2 linked regions of the Struthio camelus genome follow. The main gene of each other region encodes a partner of the protein of the gene in region 2 in a complex. Links are inferred from orthologs where the notes say so. Each region holds a gene or a part of one and is shown on either strand. Other genes may lie near its edges.

Evidence for each region. The genes of interacting proteins can lie anywhere in the genome.
Region 1: the proteins of FBXL5 (region 2) and IREB2 are in contact, whole or in part, in a cryo-EM structure (PDB 6VCD), measured with the Homo sapiens proteins. The link is inferred for Struthio camelus from reciprocal best matches to the Homo sapiens genes FBXL5 and IREB2. Residues at the interface, in NP_036293.1 of Homo sapiens: Asp656, Glu657, Tyr661, Cys662, Asp663, Asn664, Ile665, His669, Ala670, Asp671, Thr672, Ala673, Ser674, Gly675, Cys676, Gln677, Asn678, Leu679, Gln680, Cys687, Arg688, Ser689, Gly690, Glu691; in NP_004127.2 of Homo sapiens: Asp89, Phe90, Ser129, Asn217, Val220, Glu221, Arg224, Arg228, Ala758, Gly759, Ser760, Arg763, Asn764, Thr777, Pro778, Arg779, Asn782, Ser783, Tyr784, Gly785, Ala786, Arg788.

What each region holds. Positions count from the first base shown.
Region 1 is NC_090953.1:21,675,861-21,683,132, forward strand, and holds the start of IREB2 (iron-responsive element-binding protein 2), read left to right. Parts: upstream 1-4,249; 5' UTR 4,250-4,344; coding exon 4,345-4,363; intron 4,364-4,748; exon of another isoform or gene 4,749-4,909; intron 4,910-5,220; coding exon 5,221-5,310; intron 5,311-7,272. UniProt on the Homo sapiens protein: RNA-binding protein that binds to iron-responsive elements (IRES), which are stem-loop structures found in the 5'-UTR of ferritin, and delta aminolevulinic acid synthase mRNAs, and in the 3'-UTR of transferrin receptor mRNA.
Region 2 is NC_090945.1:70,559,931-70,567,051, reverse strand, and holds the start of FBXL5 (F-box/LRR-repeat protein 5), read right to left. Parts: upstream 3,084-7,121; 5' UTR 3,011-3,083; coding exon 2,879-3,010; intron 1-2,878. Other genes in the region: ADP-ribosyl cyclase/cyclic ADP-ribose hydrolase 2, read left to right, coding at 7,094-7,121.

The sequences.
Region 1 (7,272 bases), on a different chromosome or scaffold from region 2:
GAAATGCACGTAGTGGTACTGGCCAAATGGCACGTTCTCCTGCAGTGAATGAGGAGAGGAAGTGATCTGGCTTTCCAGGACCCGTGTGAGCAGAGGGCAGGTAAGCTCTACCTTCCTGAGAGGGAAAACGCTTGTTCCCAGAGGTTTAGGGCTGGCAGTTCAGCCAACAATGTCTGGGCTTGTAAAACCCCCGACGTAAGAAAGCTGAACTGTGCCTCCCTCTGCAGTTTTCAGCAGTGCATAGGAAAGAAGGCAACAGATGCCATCCATTTAAAACAAGCATGTCAGTAACAACCACAGCCTGAACCAAAACAGATGTCACTGCCATGGCTGTTAAGGCTGATATTTCACAGGCTGCCATGAGCGCTGCAGAGTGTAGCTTGAGGTTCCCCAGTTGCTCGTTGTACTTCCTGAAGCGAAGACCTCGTGCTCGCAAGTCAGACTCCAATTACTCTGCCAGCAGCACAAAATGGTCCTTCTTTCTCCTGACATCTCTGGGGAAAAACTCTGCATGCGCTTAGACTCTGCTAACTAGGAAAGGCAATTTTCAGACTCCTTAACAACAGAGCAGTACCAACAGTCCTGTAACCTGAAAATAGATGCCTGTTTTCAGAATATTAAAAGTTCACCATCTATTTTTTTTTTATACAATGTATTTGGAAGTAAGCATGTTTACTGTACTGAATTTTGCCTTCCTCTGGTACTAATAAGCTCTTCCCAGCAAGACTGTTCTCCCACGCGCAGTTTGGGCAGGATTCCATATGCCGGCACTTCCCTCACAATTAAAAATCATCTTAAAACACCTCAGAGCCTCTTTCCTTTGTCTGAAGGAAAACTAAAATGCACTGAGCCCAGAATGAAGGTTTGAAAAGTAGTTTCTGCGATACTTGAACCTCCCCATGTACCCAGTCTGAACTTTAGAACAGTTCAAGTGCTATCTCCAGATATTTATAAGACAGCATTATCTGATTTACTGAGAGTCTGCTGAGTGCTTGGGAAGGACTTCTAGAGGGGTTTCAGGCCGTGTACGTCTGTGTAAATGGCAGCTCTTGGAAGAGATTAAAACAAAAGTTTTGATTTCCTGAGGGAAAAATTATCAAGGCAATTTATTACTCGATTCACTGATAGCAACTCAAACATCAGTCTGAGAGGATGAGAAATGTAAGGAATGTTATTTCTCAGTGAAGCCTTAGCATGGGTGAGGAACTGCCTTTCAGTATCTTTTGTGGCGCTGGCTCACGCAGCACGGACTAGCTGCCATACAGTTCGTGTTAGCAGCCCGAGAGAGCCAGATGCGCTTCCTTCCCCGGTTTTTTCCCTCTGGCATTTATTAATCTACTTATCTTGATACTAGGTATTTTGTGCAGTGATTACAAACAATATGCAGTCAAAAGTGAGGCTTAAAGACTACATGGTGCACTGAGGCTATTTTACAAAAATCAACAAGAAATCACATGAATTAGATGTGTACAAGCTAAGCTTGCACTGTGTCTCAAACCATGCAGGATCAAAACAAAATATTCAGTCATATTCTTACTGAAATACCCAACCTGCCTATGTATCAGGAACTTATGTTCTTAATTAATTTACAGCGCACCTAATACCAGTGGCTTTTCTGCAGTGGCACAAGGAATGGAGAAATGTGACTGCTTGTTTTTTTTTCTTACAGATTGTCCAACATAAATTTTACAAACTCTTTTTTTCATTTTGTTGCTGAGAATACGCCGATGTCAAATCTGCTTTGTGTTCTTTTTAATCGGCTGCCTCAAGCTACGCCATTGACATAGTCCGTGAACAGGTATTACTTATCCTACCCATCTCTGTAGATTCACTTGTGCCTCTTAGACTATTGCTATATTGGACTGACCTTAATTTCTTAAATATTCTACAGCCATTTCCCAAGTCTTTGTTCTTAATCTCCGAAATTCACTCATGTGGACAAAAACTTCAGTTGCTTTGTTATTTTTTAAATCTACTACAGCTAAGTACAAAAATTAAGCTTTACTCTCCTCCTTGAATGATCTCTCACTGCCCTAGACAGGAGAACTGTGTCGAATTTGCTGGATTGGAGCCCTACACACACCAGTCACACAGAAGTCTGTGGGTAGCCAAGATTAAGAGACATTTTACTTCAAACTGTTATGCCAACCTGCTTCTCCTGTAGAGGAATGTATGGAAATGGTGTGGGGGCTCCCCATGTGCTCCCGCTGTTGTCTTTCATCTAGCCTTATAGAAAAGAGGGGAAGACAAAAGAAAGGGACAACTAGAAAAGCAGTCTTGCATTAGATTGGGTACTCTCTTTTAGATCGTACTGTTCTGGAAGACAGAGCTGAGGGCATTCTTTAGTCCCGTCTTTTCCCATAACAAGACGGCTTTCTGTGTTTGAAGGCTGAAGCATGGTGAACAATACAGAAATTCTCTCTGCGTAGCGACTGCCTTTTACAGAGCGAGTGCAAATTACTTCCCTCTGTTGGCATTCTCTTCCTCGCTAAGACATTCGCGTTTAGCCTGCTTCTGTCAGCTCCAATTACAAAGCAGCCATATCTATCCCTGTTTTTCCTCTGGGTAAGCCCACTGCTTCAATTTGACTTCTTTCAGGACATTGGACCCCAGCTGGGAAACCGAGAAGGCATTCAGCAAACAGCAAAAACATGTTTCTTAGATGGTGACACAACACCTTAAAGGAGTCTGTGATTTTAACGTTCCTTTCAGATTCAAAAAGAATCGCAAAACAAATAGTAAGCAGAACAGTGGGATAACCAGCTGCTACTAAGCAAATCAAAACAAAATTTCCAATATAAATCAGTTTCAAAAAGCCAAACGCTAAGTGGCCAAACATTCTATTAAAAACAAAGATATATATCGGATTTGCTTTACAAAAATTGTCTTATATGTAGGAAGGGCACAGAAAAAATGAACATTTGGCGATAAAGGATTTAGCATGTGTACAAGAAACATTCCATACTCCCTAAAATCCCTTTCCTTGGGTGTACCTGATCCACCAAAGTTAGCCTTCGGCCAACAGCGGAAGATAACCAGAAGTCATTTTGCCACCGGTATCCTGTAGGTTCAGCCCTGCAAGACTCGAGGTTTCTTTCAAAAAAGAAAACAAGTGGGTCAGTGGCGGTGCAGACGTCCCTGGAGATGCACCTTATCTGATTTTGTGGAGGGACAATGCTGCCATCGCTTGTCTGCCAGCCCTTCATCTACTCACGGCTGCACCTCCAGGCCCGGACAGCAGAAGCTGCTGCAGGAAGCCCCTGGGGGCCAGCGCATGTCCCCACGGCCGCCGGAGCAGCACGCAGCGAGCCGCCCTCTGCGCTCGGCCCCGGCCCTCGCTGCTGCTTAGAGCATTGTGGTGAGCAGCCATCCAGCGAGGGCAGAAGCCATAAACGACACCGTTCAAGGGAGCGGACAGCGTTTGGCATCCTGAGCGTGCTTTATGCCCCCGACCTGCTCGAGGGACAGGGGTCGGGGGCAGGCCGCGGGCGGGTTGCCCACCGCTGGCCGCGCGCCCCTGCGCTCCCTCAGAGGTGCGCCCGGCAGCGTTGCCGCCTGGACGCTGAGCAGCCAAAGGGCGAGAGGATGCTGCAATTCTGGGTGCTCAGCAGTTTTGAATAAAACTTCTGCAATCAGCGTGTCATTGAGCCACAGCTCAGGGAAGCGAGGGCCAGCGCAGGTCCAAGGGGAAGTGGGGGCAGCCAGGGGCCAGCGGGTCACGGCCACCTTTTCGGTGGCTTTTTCCTTTTCCAGCCTTTCCCTTTTCCACCTTTTTCCAGCTTCTAGCTGGGAAAAGAAACCACAGTTTGAAAGGAAGAAAAGAGAATAAAACGTGAAAAGGAAAGAGAAACCTCCCGAAGCAAATCCAACATCAGATCAGCGGCGGCGGGGGGGCCTGAGGCGACAGCGCGCGCGGTAACGACGGTAACGGCCGCCCCGCGCGCCGCAACGCCGCTAACGGCCGCCCCCCCGCCCTGCCCCGCCCCCAGTCCGGCCCCACGGTCCTAGCACCACCCCTCGCCCCGCCCCTCCCCATCACGTGGGGCGCACGCACCCCCCCCCCCCCCGCGGCCCCGGCCAATAGGCGGCGCCGATCGCGCTGAGGCCCAAGGGCTCGAGCCCCCGGGTCTCGCGAGAGCGCGGCTCCGCCCACCTGCTCCCGCGCTCCTCCCCGCGCCGGGTCTCGCGAGAGCGCACGCGCCTTCCCATCTGCGTCTCGCGCGAGCTGCGGCGCCTGGCGGGGCGGGGCGGGGAGGGGCAGGGCGCGGGTCTCGCGAGAGCTGGCGGCGGCCCCGCCCGCGCCCCCCGCTCCCCTGCCCAGCGGAGCTAATATGGTTGCCGGCGATGGACCCTGCCAGGCCAGGTCAGTGGCGGCGCCGCCGCCTCCCGCCGCGGCGCTCGCGCTCCGGGGCCGCCGCCCGGCCTAGCGGGGCCCGGCGGCGTTCGGCCTGGCCTCCGCCCCTCGGCGGGGCCGGCGGCGGGCAGCGGGCTCGGCCCGAGCGCGGCGGCGGCGGCGACTCCCCCCCCCCCCCAACCACCCCGGGCCGCCCGCGGCGGGGGGGAGGGCGGAGCGGGGCGACCTCGGCCTCGGCCCCGGCCCGTTACCGCCCCCGCCGGCCCCGCTTCGTTCCGCCGCGCCGGGGCCGCCCGTTATGGCCGGCGGCCCTCGCCGCGGCGGACAAAGGGGCGGCGCGGGCCCGGCGGCGGCGGCGACCGGCGGCGGCCGCCTCGTGCGCCTGTACTGAGGTGACAGCGGCCTTCCTGTAAGCGCCTTCGGCTGCTGGAGACAGTCGTCACCCTGGCCTCCTCTTGCGAGGCTTGTTCTTGTTTCTTGCTTGCCTGTCGCTGCCCCGGCCCTTAATGCTTCATTTTTGTACTGTCTTATGGCCTGTGTTCCTCATCTGAGCCGGTAAGGTACCGTTTATCCTCTTTCGTAGGTGTCGCAGTGAGACAGTAAAGGTCACATTTGTATTTAGGCTTCTAAATGTGCAAGTAGGTGTGTCTACTGCTGTGCTCTTGGAGTTCACTGGAGTTGCACAGCTGTATGGTCAGGTGCCTTAATCCATTTAGAAGCCTTTCTATATTTGATTTACTTGTAGTCCTAGGAGAAAACTATTTTTGGTAAAATCAGAAATTAAAATCTGGTCTTATGAGTCCCTTATCGGTGCTTGAACCTTCTGTTCTGTTGTATCAATAACTTATTTATTTTTTTTCCCCTAGGAATCCCTTACCAGCCCATAATTGAAGCATTAGAAAACTATCCACAGAAGAAGTTCTACAATGTCTCAAAGCTTGGAGGCACCAAATATGGTAACAAAAGTTCTTAACAGTTGGTAATCAGCATAGTACCGTTAGCAAACGTATGCTACTTACTGTACAATATTAGGGGGCACATGAGTACCTGGATTTTTAATAGGTGTATCTGAAAGTATATAACTTTCCATCTGTTATTGCTGTATGAAGTTGAATAATATCAACTTCAGTTTGGGGGGTGGAGGAGGAAAAGAATATTGCTTGTAACTTTTTTCAGTTAGGGGGAGATTGACAGGTGTTACTGGAGTCTTAGGCAGTGCTTCAAATCAGAGTAATCTCTTTTGGAAACAATGAACTGACAGAAAACTGCTGAATGGTACTTTAAATATAAATATAGTTTTTAATATAGCTTTATGCTACTTCTTTGTATCCAAGTTTTACCTTCTTAGTAACTTCAGATAGCAGATAACTGTGTGCTGGAGCATAGCTTCTATTGCAGCTGTTGCAGAAGGATGAGCTTTTGTGTTGCACAGAAGAGTGCTTAATCTCAGTGTAGCATTAATATGCCACTAAGTGATATGTGCCAAAAAGATTCTGATTGGGCCTCTGTGTCTGGATGCCTTTTAAAAAATGAATGTAAATATGTACTGAGGCAGGGGAAGGCATGTGGATGGAGAATAGCTATAGATCAGTGTCACTTAGAATATGCTTTCCTCTTGTAGATAACTAAAGCATACTTTTGTTATTCTCTCCCTTTGTTTTCATATTAAACTCCTAAAATACCTCCCTAAGGTGCATATTAAAGGTATTTGGGAATTTTTTTCAGTTATCCTGTTTTGTCAGGTCTGTATTACTCTCCTGTGTTCACAGGTTCATGATGCATTTATTAACCAAAAAAGTTACTGATGGGTGTTTGCTGTAAACCAGTATTCGACAGCAGTAGTTACTTCCCTGTTGAAGGGAAGAGAGAGGGGAGCCCTTTCTAGTGGAGCAATGGCTGCTGCAGATTTTGTGCAACAGCTGTGCGTTCTTGCAGATTTCTGCTTCTTGTTAATAACTTGAATGAGAACATAAGCTGGAGGTAAAACTCTTCTGTTTGTGGCTTTGTACAGGAAGAAGCAGCAGAGTGGCAGTAACAAAACCAGTCAGTTCTGCTGCGGCTTTTGGAGATCTTGTGAATGGTAGTAGAAGTTGAAACAGAATACGTTGTTTTCTGTCTAGATGTGCTGTAAAGCTTCGGGCAGCAGCAGCAATTGTTAAAGATCTTCAAAGCAGGAATATGAAAATAGAATAGACTAGGTGTCTCTTCCGACAGGAACTTCTGTACAGAAGTTGGTAGCCTCATTGTTCACATAGTAGCAAGATACTAGTATGAAATAAAATTGGAGCATAGTATTGGATAACGTTGGTAAGAAATCCAGCATCTGGAATTGCTCAGAGCATGTGTTGCTAGAGCATTAACTTGAGGTCTTGCCTGTTTGCCTGCTGTCTTGGGGCTTCTGACTGTACTCTGACAATAAGTGCCTGTTTAAGATAGTCAGATTTCTAATATAAATGTCAATTGACTTATTTACCAATTTGCTAGGGCGAGTCTGGTTTTTCTAGTGTTTACAGTCATTTTCAGTGATGAGGAAAATGGTAGCTAGAAGGACCTCAGAACCTCAGGGTGATTTAGGGTGGTGGAAGGGACATCCAGAGGTCCGGTCCAGGCTGCCCTCAAGGCTAGTGAGGCCTTTCCCCTTCGAGCTCTGCAAAGCTCCAAGGAGGGAGATTCCACAGGGCCTCTGGCCCCTGCTGCAGTGCGTAAGCATCTGCGTGGTGAGCAGTCTTTCTTGTGCCTACTGCGATGTCCCTTGCAACTGGCAGCTCTTTTCTGTCCTTTCTCTGTGCACTTCTGAAAACAGTCTGGCTCCACCTTCTCTGCAGATTTGTTAGCCTGAGGAAGGCTAGAGTTCATCCCCCCACTCAGCTTTGGATCAGCACACCCAGTTCCCTCAACCGTACCTGTATGTCAGGTGC
Region 2 (7,121 bases):
CAAATATGAAAGGAAAATTTTGAGTGCTGCCAGAAACAATTCACAGATAAGCATAGGGTTACAGTGAGGCATAAAGTGAATACGGTGCTGTTAAAAATAAATAAATAAACAGGGGGGGAAAAAAAAGAAGCTCTATTCAACATCAACAGTGTCATGTTTTGCACAACGGATTTCAAGAAAATCTAGACAAAATTAGGCTGAGGTTTCACAGCAGCTGAAGCCAACCTAGTTGCCGGGCTGTCACAGTCCCACCCTCCAGCTCCCATTGGCTTCAGTACTCATCTGACTAGTGCTTGCTGGTGAGCAGAAAAACTACCACCTAAAAAAAAAAAAAAAAGTAAAAAAAGTTCTCTGCCAATTACAGCCTTTGTGAGTCACTTAACATGCTGATGGGAGGAAGGAAGGGCCAATAATCATGACAGCAGCAGTTAGATGGCTTAGATTGTCACAAAACTGCAGTTTAGCAGTCCTGACAAAAGCAACAAGAACACCAAGAGGCACAGAACGCATCACCCATGTGGTAAAGTTGAATGAATCTGTTCACTTAGTCCAAAAAGCAGATCAAGATGGAGGACAGGGCTACAATTTGCAAATAAGCAGAAGACTCTCCTGAAAACAAACAGCCATTCACTGGAGATAGGAAAAAGAAATCAGCTCTATTAATAAATAGTATGGATGATGTTAGACATTAGGAAAAAAAATTTTACTCCAAAGACCGTCTATAGGAATAGTTATTCCTATTATGTAAGTAAAGGCACTGCATACAACGGTCCTAAAATGCCATTCAAGTACACAGAAAACGTATGGTAAGATCTTTGCATCAAGACAGTTACTGAACTTTTAAATTGTTGCTAGCAGTCAAACATCTTACACTTCCGATTTACTCTTCTGTCTCATATGAGGTCTTAGAAGAACAATCTAAACTTTATCTCAGTCCTAAAGCATCACTGGAGTACCTCTGCCTTTTACTCATCCTAACCTTATAACCGATTCCCTGAAAAGCATAGATGCACCAGTTTCACCCCTACTAACAATTGGTGGAATTTAGTAAGAGGAGGCACTAACAGATGGCAACTATATTACAACGTACAGGGAACATTAGCAGCAGCAGGTACACATGTAGTTGAAATTAAAGACTCCTCAAGGATTCACTAAATTGATAAAGAGCATAGCTTCGCGGATTATAATTGCCATGTAAGCAGAAATACAGTCTGAGCTAACTACAACATCTTAATCACACAAGAAGGAAAGTTCAGAGAAATTTTTCTGATATAAAGCTATCGTGACTGAAATACAAAGGTCACGAGCCAGGCACAGACTCCAAACTCTGTAACAGGACCAGAGAATGTAGGATTAAGTACTATAAATCCTCCCTGCTTACATAAAAAACCCATCAAGGATTCATTTGTGGTTATGCTTGTTTAAAAGAAGAAAAGAAAGTTAGCACGCTCTTGTCTACAATTGAAAAAAAAAAAAAAAGAGAGCGTATGCTCATAGCAGACTGGATGGTTTTAATCAAATTTTGCCAATCTAATAAATTCGGTCAAAACTTTGTGGGAGGTTCAATAAGAGTGACAGAAATGCATCTCGGGAACAAAAAACCAAAAACAGTAGTAAATGACTAGAAGATCTGGAGGTTGAAAACTTGCTCAACTACTGTTAACAATGCTAGCAGGGCTGCTAGTGGGAAAAAAAAGTCGCAGCCTTTTTCAGGTGTTTCTTTCCCTTTCTGCAATATCCCCTCTCTTAAGGCTTCACAAGTTTTCATGCAGCCACAGATTGCAAAATTAACTTAACTGCAAACACACTTGCAAAAACGACTTACAGTGAAATTACAGAAGACAGCTAGATCTGGTCAGACATTGCTAAATGGTAACACTCTCATCTTTTTCTTCCCCTGATTTTCTCTGCCCAATTCAAACAGGCTCACAAAAAGGGGTCCGGTGAGCACCAGACATTGGGGAAATAGGGGAAGGGGGGACTCCCCCAGCCTGTTGGCAGCTGTTACGCTGTCTCTCATGCAACTTCACACTCCTTTTTGACGCTTGCTAAAACGACTCCGGTTCCCCCACAGCCGTTTATGCCCACAGAGGGGGGAGGCACTACTTTCAGTTTGCGTGCTGGCTTTCAAGTGTTTCCCTGAAACCCTTCAGTTCTGCTTGAACGTGCTGCAGTGAAGTTTGCCTTTCAGGTGACACACCAGCTCGGATTACTCACTGCCCTGATGCAAGAACGGAAGTTATTTTTGCAACATTATTTAAAAACCAAAACTTCCTTAGCGTACCCTTCAGGTGCTCACCAATTAAACGCTGTACTTTAAAACGCAAACAAACGTTGCTCCTCACAGACCGTTAACGAGCGCACTGCCCACGACCGGTGTCCGGCGGTGCTGCCGGGCACCGGGCAATTTACAGGAAAAAAAAAAAAAAAAGCACCAAAACACACCAAAACACCACCAGAGGTTTGTTTACCCCCTGCCCCCCGCTCCACCCCGGCACCCCCGGCCGCCTCGGGGGTCCGCCCCGCCCGGGGCTGCGCAGGCCGCGGCCCCACCTCCAGGAAGGGGCAGCCGGGGTGGGCGCCGGCCCCGCTCCCAGCCCGGCGGGGGAAGGAGCGCGGCAGGCGCGGTCCCGCGGCGGAGGGAGCGCTGCTGCCTCACGGGCAAGGCCACCAAACGCGGCCGGGGCCGGGACCGGGCAGAGCGGGGCGCGGGGAAGGCGGCTCCGGCGGCCGGGGCGCCCCGCGGCAGCGGCGGGGGGAGCCGGGGCCGGGGCCGGCGCGGGGCGCGCTGACAGCTGCGCACTACGCGAAATCCTCCCTCGCCCCTCCGGCGGAGCGAGCGGAGCGGGGCAGGGGCGGCCGCGGCGCGGCCCGCTACCTTGTCGCAGTAGAGCCCCACGAGCTGCTTCATCCGCCAGTGGGGCGCCGAGAAGACGTCCACCTCCTCGGGGAAGGGAGCCATGTTCTCCCCATAGAGCCTCGCCGCGGCCGGCACTGGCGGCGGCAACATGCGCGCTGCGCATGCGCGGCACGGCGCGGAGGGCGCCCCGCCGGCCCGGGCGCCACGTGACAGGGGCCGCCCCGCGAGCGCCGCCGCGGCTCAGGCGGCGCCGCCCGGCGCCCCGCCGCGCGCATGCGCATGCCAGGCTCGGCGAGCCCTGCGGCGCCCTGGGAGGCCGCTGCCCTCGCCCGCCTCCCGCCGGGGCCGCGGCGCTGTGTCAGCAACAACGCGCCTCCGCCATCGGCCTCCTGCCGCGCCCAGCTCCTTCCCGCCGAGCGTGGGCGGCAGCAGGCTGGATGCCAGAGGCCCCCGGCAGGCAGGAGCGAGGGAGCGCGTCGGGGCGGCGCCCGGAGGCTGCAGGCCGACGGGCCCGGGCCTGTCCCCTGCCGTGGCGCAAGCGGCCCGGCTCCGCCGCCGCCGCGGCTGCGTGTGGCCGGGGGGCCCGAGGGCCCGGCCCCCCAAAACCCCGCGCGGTGCTGAGCAGAGTGCCCCGGCCGGGGGGCCCGGGCTGCCGTACCCGCCAAGCGCTGCCTGTGTTTAACGTCCGAGGGGGGAAGGGGCAGGGGCGCTGCCCTTCGGGGTTCGTCCCCCCCTAAAACGCCTCGAAAGATCCAGGAATCCTTAGCGGCCTTGAGATTACAGGTTAGGTTAGCAAAATGAAGCTGTAACGCTGTCCACCCACATGTCCACGTGTTATAAATCACCCCGCCCCCAAATTGCCAAAGATACAGTAAATGCAGAAGTTCCTGACTGAAAACTAGACAAAATCCAAGTTGTATATCTTAAACAGATTAAAAGCTGGTGAGTTAACAAATGTGAAAAAATTAGTTATAAACAGATGGAAATATTTTGAGCAAAGGCCTGCAGTACTTATTTTTAGTAAGTGTTCCTCAACATAGTAATGCTTTGGAATAAAATATGAAATTATTGCTAGTAAAATTAGTAGATAATTTAAGAAGAACACATCACATGATCAAAGTTATCTAGATCGTCTAGTACTGAGCAATCTTTCTACTGACGGAAATGAGGCTTGAGCAATTGCAGTGTTGGGTGCTTCCTTTTCCATCCACCCTTTCTTCCTCCCAGAAACTTCTGAACCTGTTGGCCTACTTAATCATATTTGACAAAGGTTTACAAATCTTAAAGGAATTTAGATTTGTGCAACTTTGGGGAAAATCAGCAGCTATGTATGAGAGAGGGAAAGGAAGGCAAAACACAGGTATGATACAGCCGGCCAGCCAGTACATGGTTGCATTTACTGCTTGACCAGTTACTGCTTGACCAGTAAAGACAATTCTGGCTCTGCACTACCCCCAGTACCCACCATTTCTTGCACAGTGAGTATAGCAGCAGACAAGTGGGAGAGGGAGGGTTAGTGCTCTAAGTAGGATTTACGATTGAGATTTATGACAGAGATGCAAGCCCTCAAGAAACAGTGTTTGGTTAAGTCTGTTGCTTACAGAAGAGCTTGTTAATGCAGGCAAATTTAAGGTCATATTTCCAACCGTAAAGCTTGAAATCCTACAGAACTGGGGTCAGTCTGCCAGCAGGCCATGCCTGAGTAATACGGGAGATTAATGCTCCCAGCTGTTACTCCCTTCTTCTGCTGGAAGTTGCCGCTCTCATCTGGTAGAAATAACAAGAGAGAACATGTCCGATCCTCATCCTCCAAGGGTTCAGAATATAAACATATGCTAAATTTGATTTTGAGTTAATATGCAGTTTGTGAATCGGAGTATCTCCAGCGCAGATATGCTGCTGGCCTTGCTGACTCTGCTTCATGGGCAGTAACCTCTTGTAGGAGAGGTGGACAGACAGCTAGGGGCAGTGATCTACATCCAGCATGAAGTGCCAAAGCTTGGGAGGCAAGCTGGACAGCCAATCATGGCACTGAAGTACAGTACTACTAAAGTAAGTGCCTAATAATGAGATTAAAAAATTGAATTTTTCATGGACAAGTTTAAGAGGCGACTTGATCATGGTCTATAAGGATTTACATGGAGAGACTATTTCTGTTTTGAGTAACATAACAGAAAAGGACATCATGAGATCCAGTGATGGGAAGCTAAAGGTAGACAAGTTCAGACTTGATGCTTAAACCATAAGGCTATCCAACTGTTGGAACAATTTCCCTGGCAATGTGTTAGATTAGCCATCACACAAAATATTTTAATCAAATTTGCGTAAGAACGTGCATTAAAGATGGCTGTACTGAGTCAGATCAGAGACCCACGTAGCCTAATGCTGTGTTTCTCAAAGTGGCCATTGAGGAAAGGAAAGTCAATAGAGCTTGAGATGGGGATCCCAGCAACCGTTGGATATATTTCCATTCCCTCTGGAATGGCATGACATGTCATGTCTTCTTGCAGAATACCACTGAGCAGCATCCACATCTTTCCAGAGTTGGCGAGTCCGAACTTGGTGTGTCCTTGCAGAAAAGCCGTTCCAAAACTCTATTCATTTTTATGTCATTCTAATGCACTGTATACTTTACTTAGACGTTTCAGTCTTGATGCAAAAATCAGTGAAAATTTCTGTCTTATTCTGTACAGAGCATCACATGAGTGATGCCTCTGGTTTTTCTTAGTCGTGAAATGACTGGGCAAGACTTGACTGCAGCGAAGTTAATAACAAAAATCATTCATTGAGTTCCATGGATGATTGAAAGCCTCTAAGCCCAAACCTGAAGCAGTGAACTTGAAACCATTTGGTTAATATCCTTGTCCCTGATCAACATGGCCATCATGTTTCACAGATGTCAAAAAGGAAATATGGAGAAAATGCATCACAAAAGTAACTGAAATGAAGTACAGCATTTGCTGTGTCTCAAGCATATCAAACACAACATGGCACATCTGTTGCAGGATAACTCTGGCACTCCTAAAAAGATGCTGCAGATAACAAATCAACTTGTTATATCACATTTATAGGAGAAATCCATCATCAGCAATTTACTCAACAATTAGCAAGATTCTGCCTACAGCAAAATCCATCAGCTGAGTACTGGTGCACCCAGGTTAGCATAACACTATATAAATAAAGACATAATTAATAAAGATATATGTATTCACTGAGGCATGAGGACTATTTAATACAATAAAAGGAATCAGCACATTTCTCAGAAATGTGAATCCATAGACAAATTACGCTCCGGTTGAAAAGAGAAGTTTTTTAAAAAGGGGTGGAAAAAAAGTAGTTTGGTTGTTTTTCCCAGCGGTGTATACAACAGAAGATTTACAGTGACGGCTGGATTAATTTATCCCATTTGATGATCTAACAAAGTACTTGGAGAGGAGAAGCTGGAGGGAAAATAAACATAAGTGGAAGTTGAAGAGATTTCTTCAATGCACAGGAAGCATACCTTAATCCTTTTGGTTCTCATTATGATTTATTCCTGTTTGCAAGACACTTTTGTTCGCTAAGAATAGTTTAAAACTTGTCATCACGCCAAAATTTTGCTGCCAGTATCCAGGGGAAAAATAGAAGAGCTGACCACTGTTACCCCTATCTGCGATGCAAGATAACGTGAAAATCTGGCTTTTTATGAATGCGGACTTGCATATTTCATTTTCTTCTTGATATGTATTTCAGCCTTTTTTTCAGCCTTTAGAGAAATATATGCAAAAAGGGTAGCACTTTTTTAACATTAAATGAAAGTACTTTTAAGCTTGTTGCTTGCAAGCACTTGCGATGTTTTAGCATTTAAGATTGCAATGAGTATTCAGCAAGCCTAAGGCATTGTAAATAACACTGAAATGGGAAGTGTTTTTTCTTTTACAAAAATATGTTGTAATTCCGTCTAGTTATCACCAGGTGGCAACCTCTTGATCTAAAAACTACGTTTTTCCGAAGCTGAGAACATTTAAATTTAAGGAAGTGATGTATCCTTGTGCTGCAATCATTCCAGGAAACAGTTAGATTACATTCTCCAGCAAAGTTTAGATTTCCGTGTAACTTTGTCATTTGCGTACAGAGCTACTGCCTGTTTTGAAAATATTACCTGTTAAACCTTCTGTTTTCCATTTAAATTGTATCATTTAACTCTCCTTTTTAATCTTTTTTTTAAAGAACTTGGGTTGTCAAGAATTCATAATGAGCAGCTTTTTTTTCTCTCTCTTAC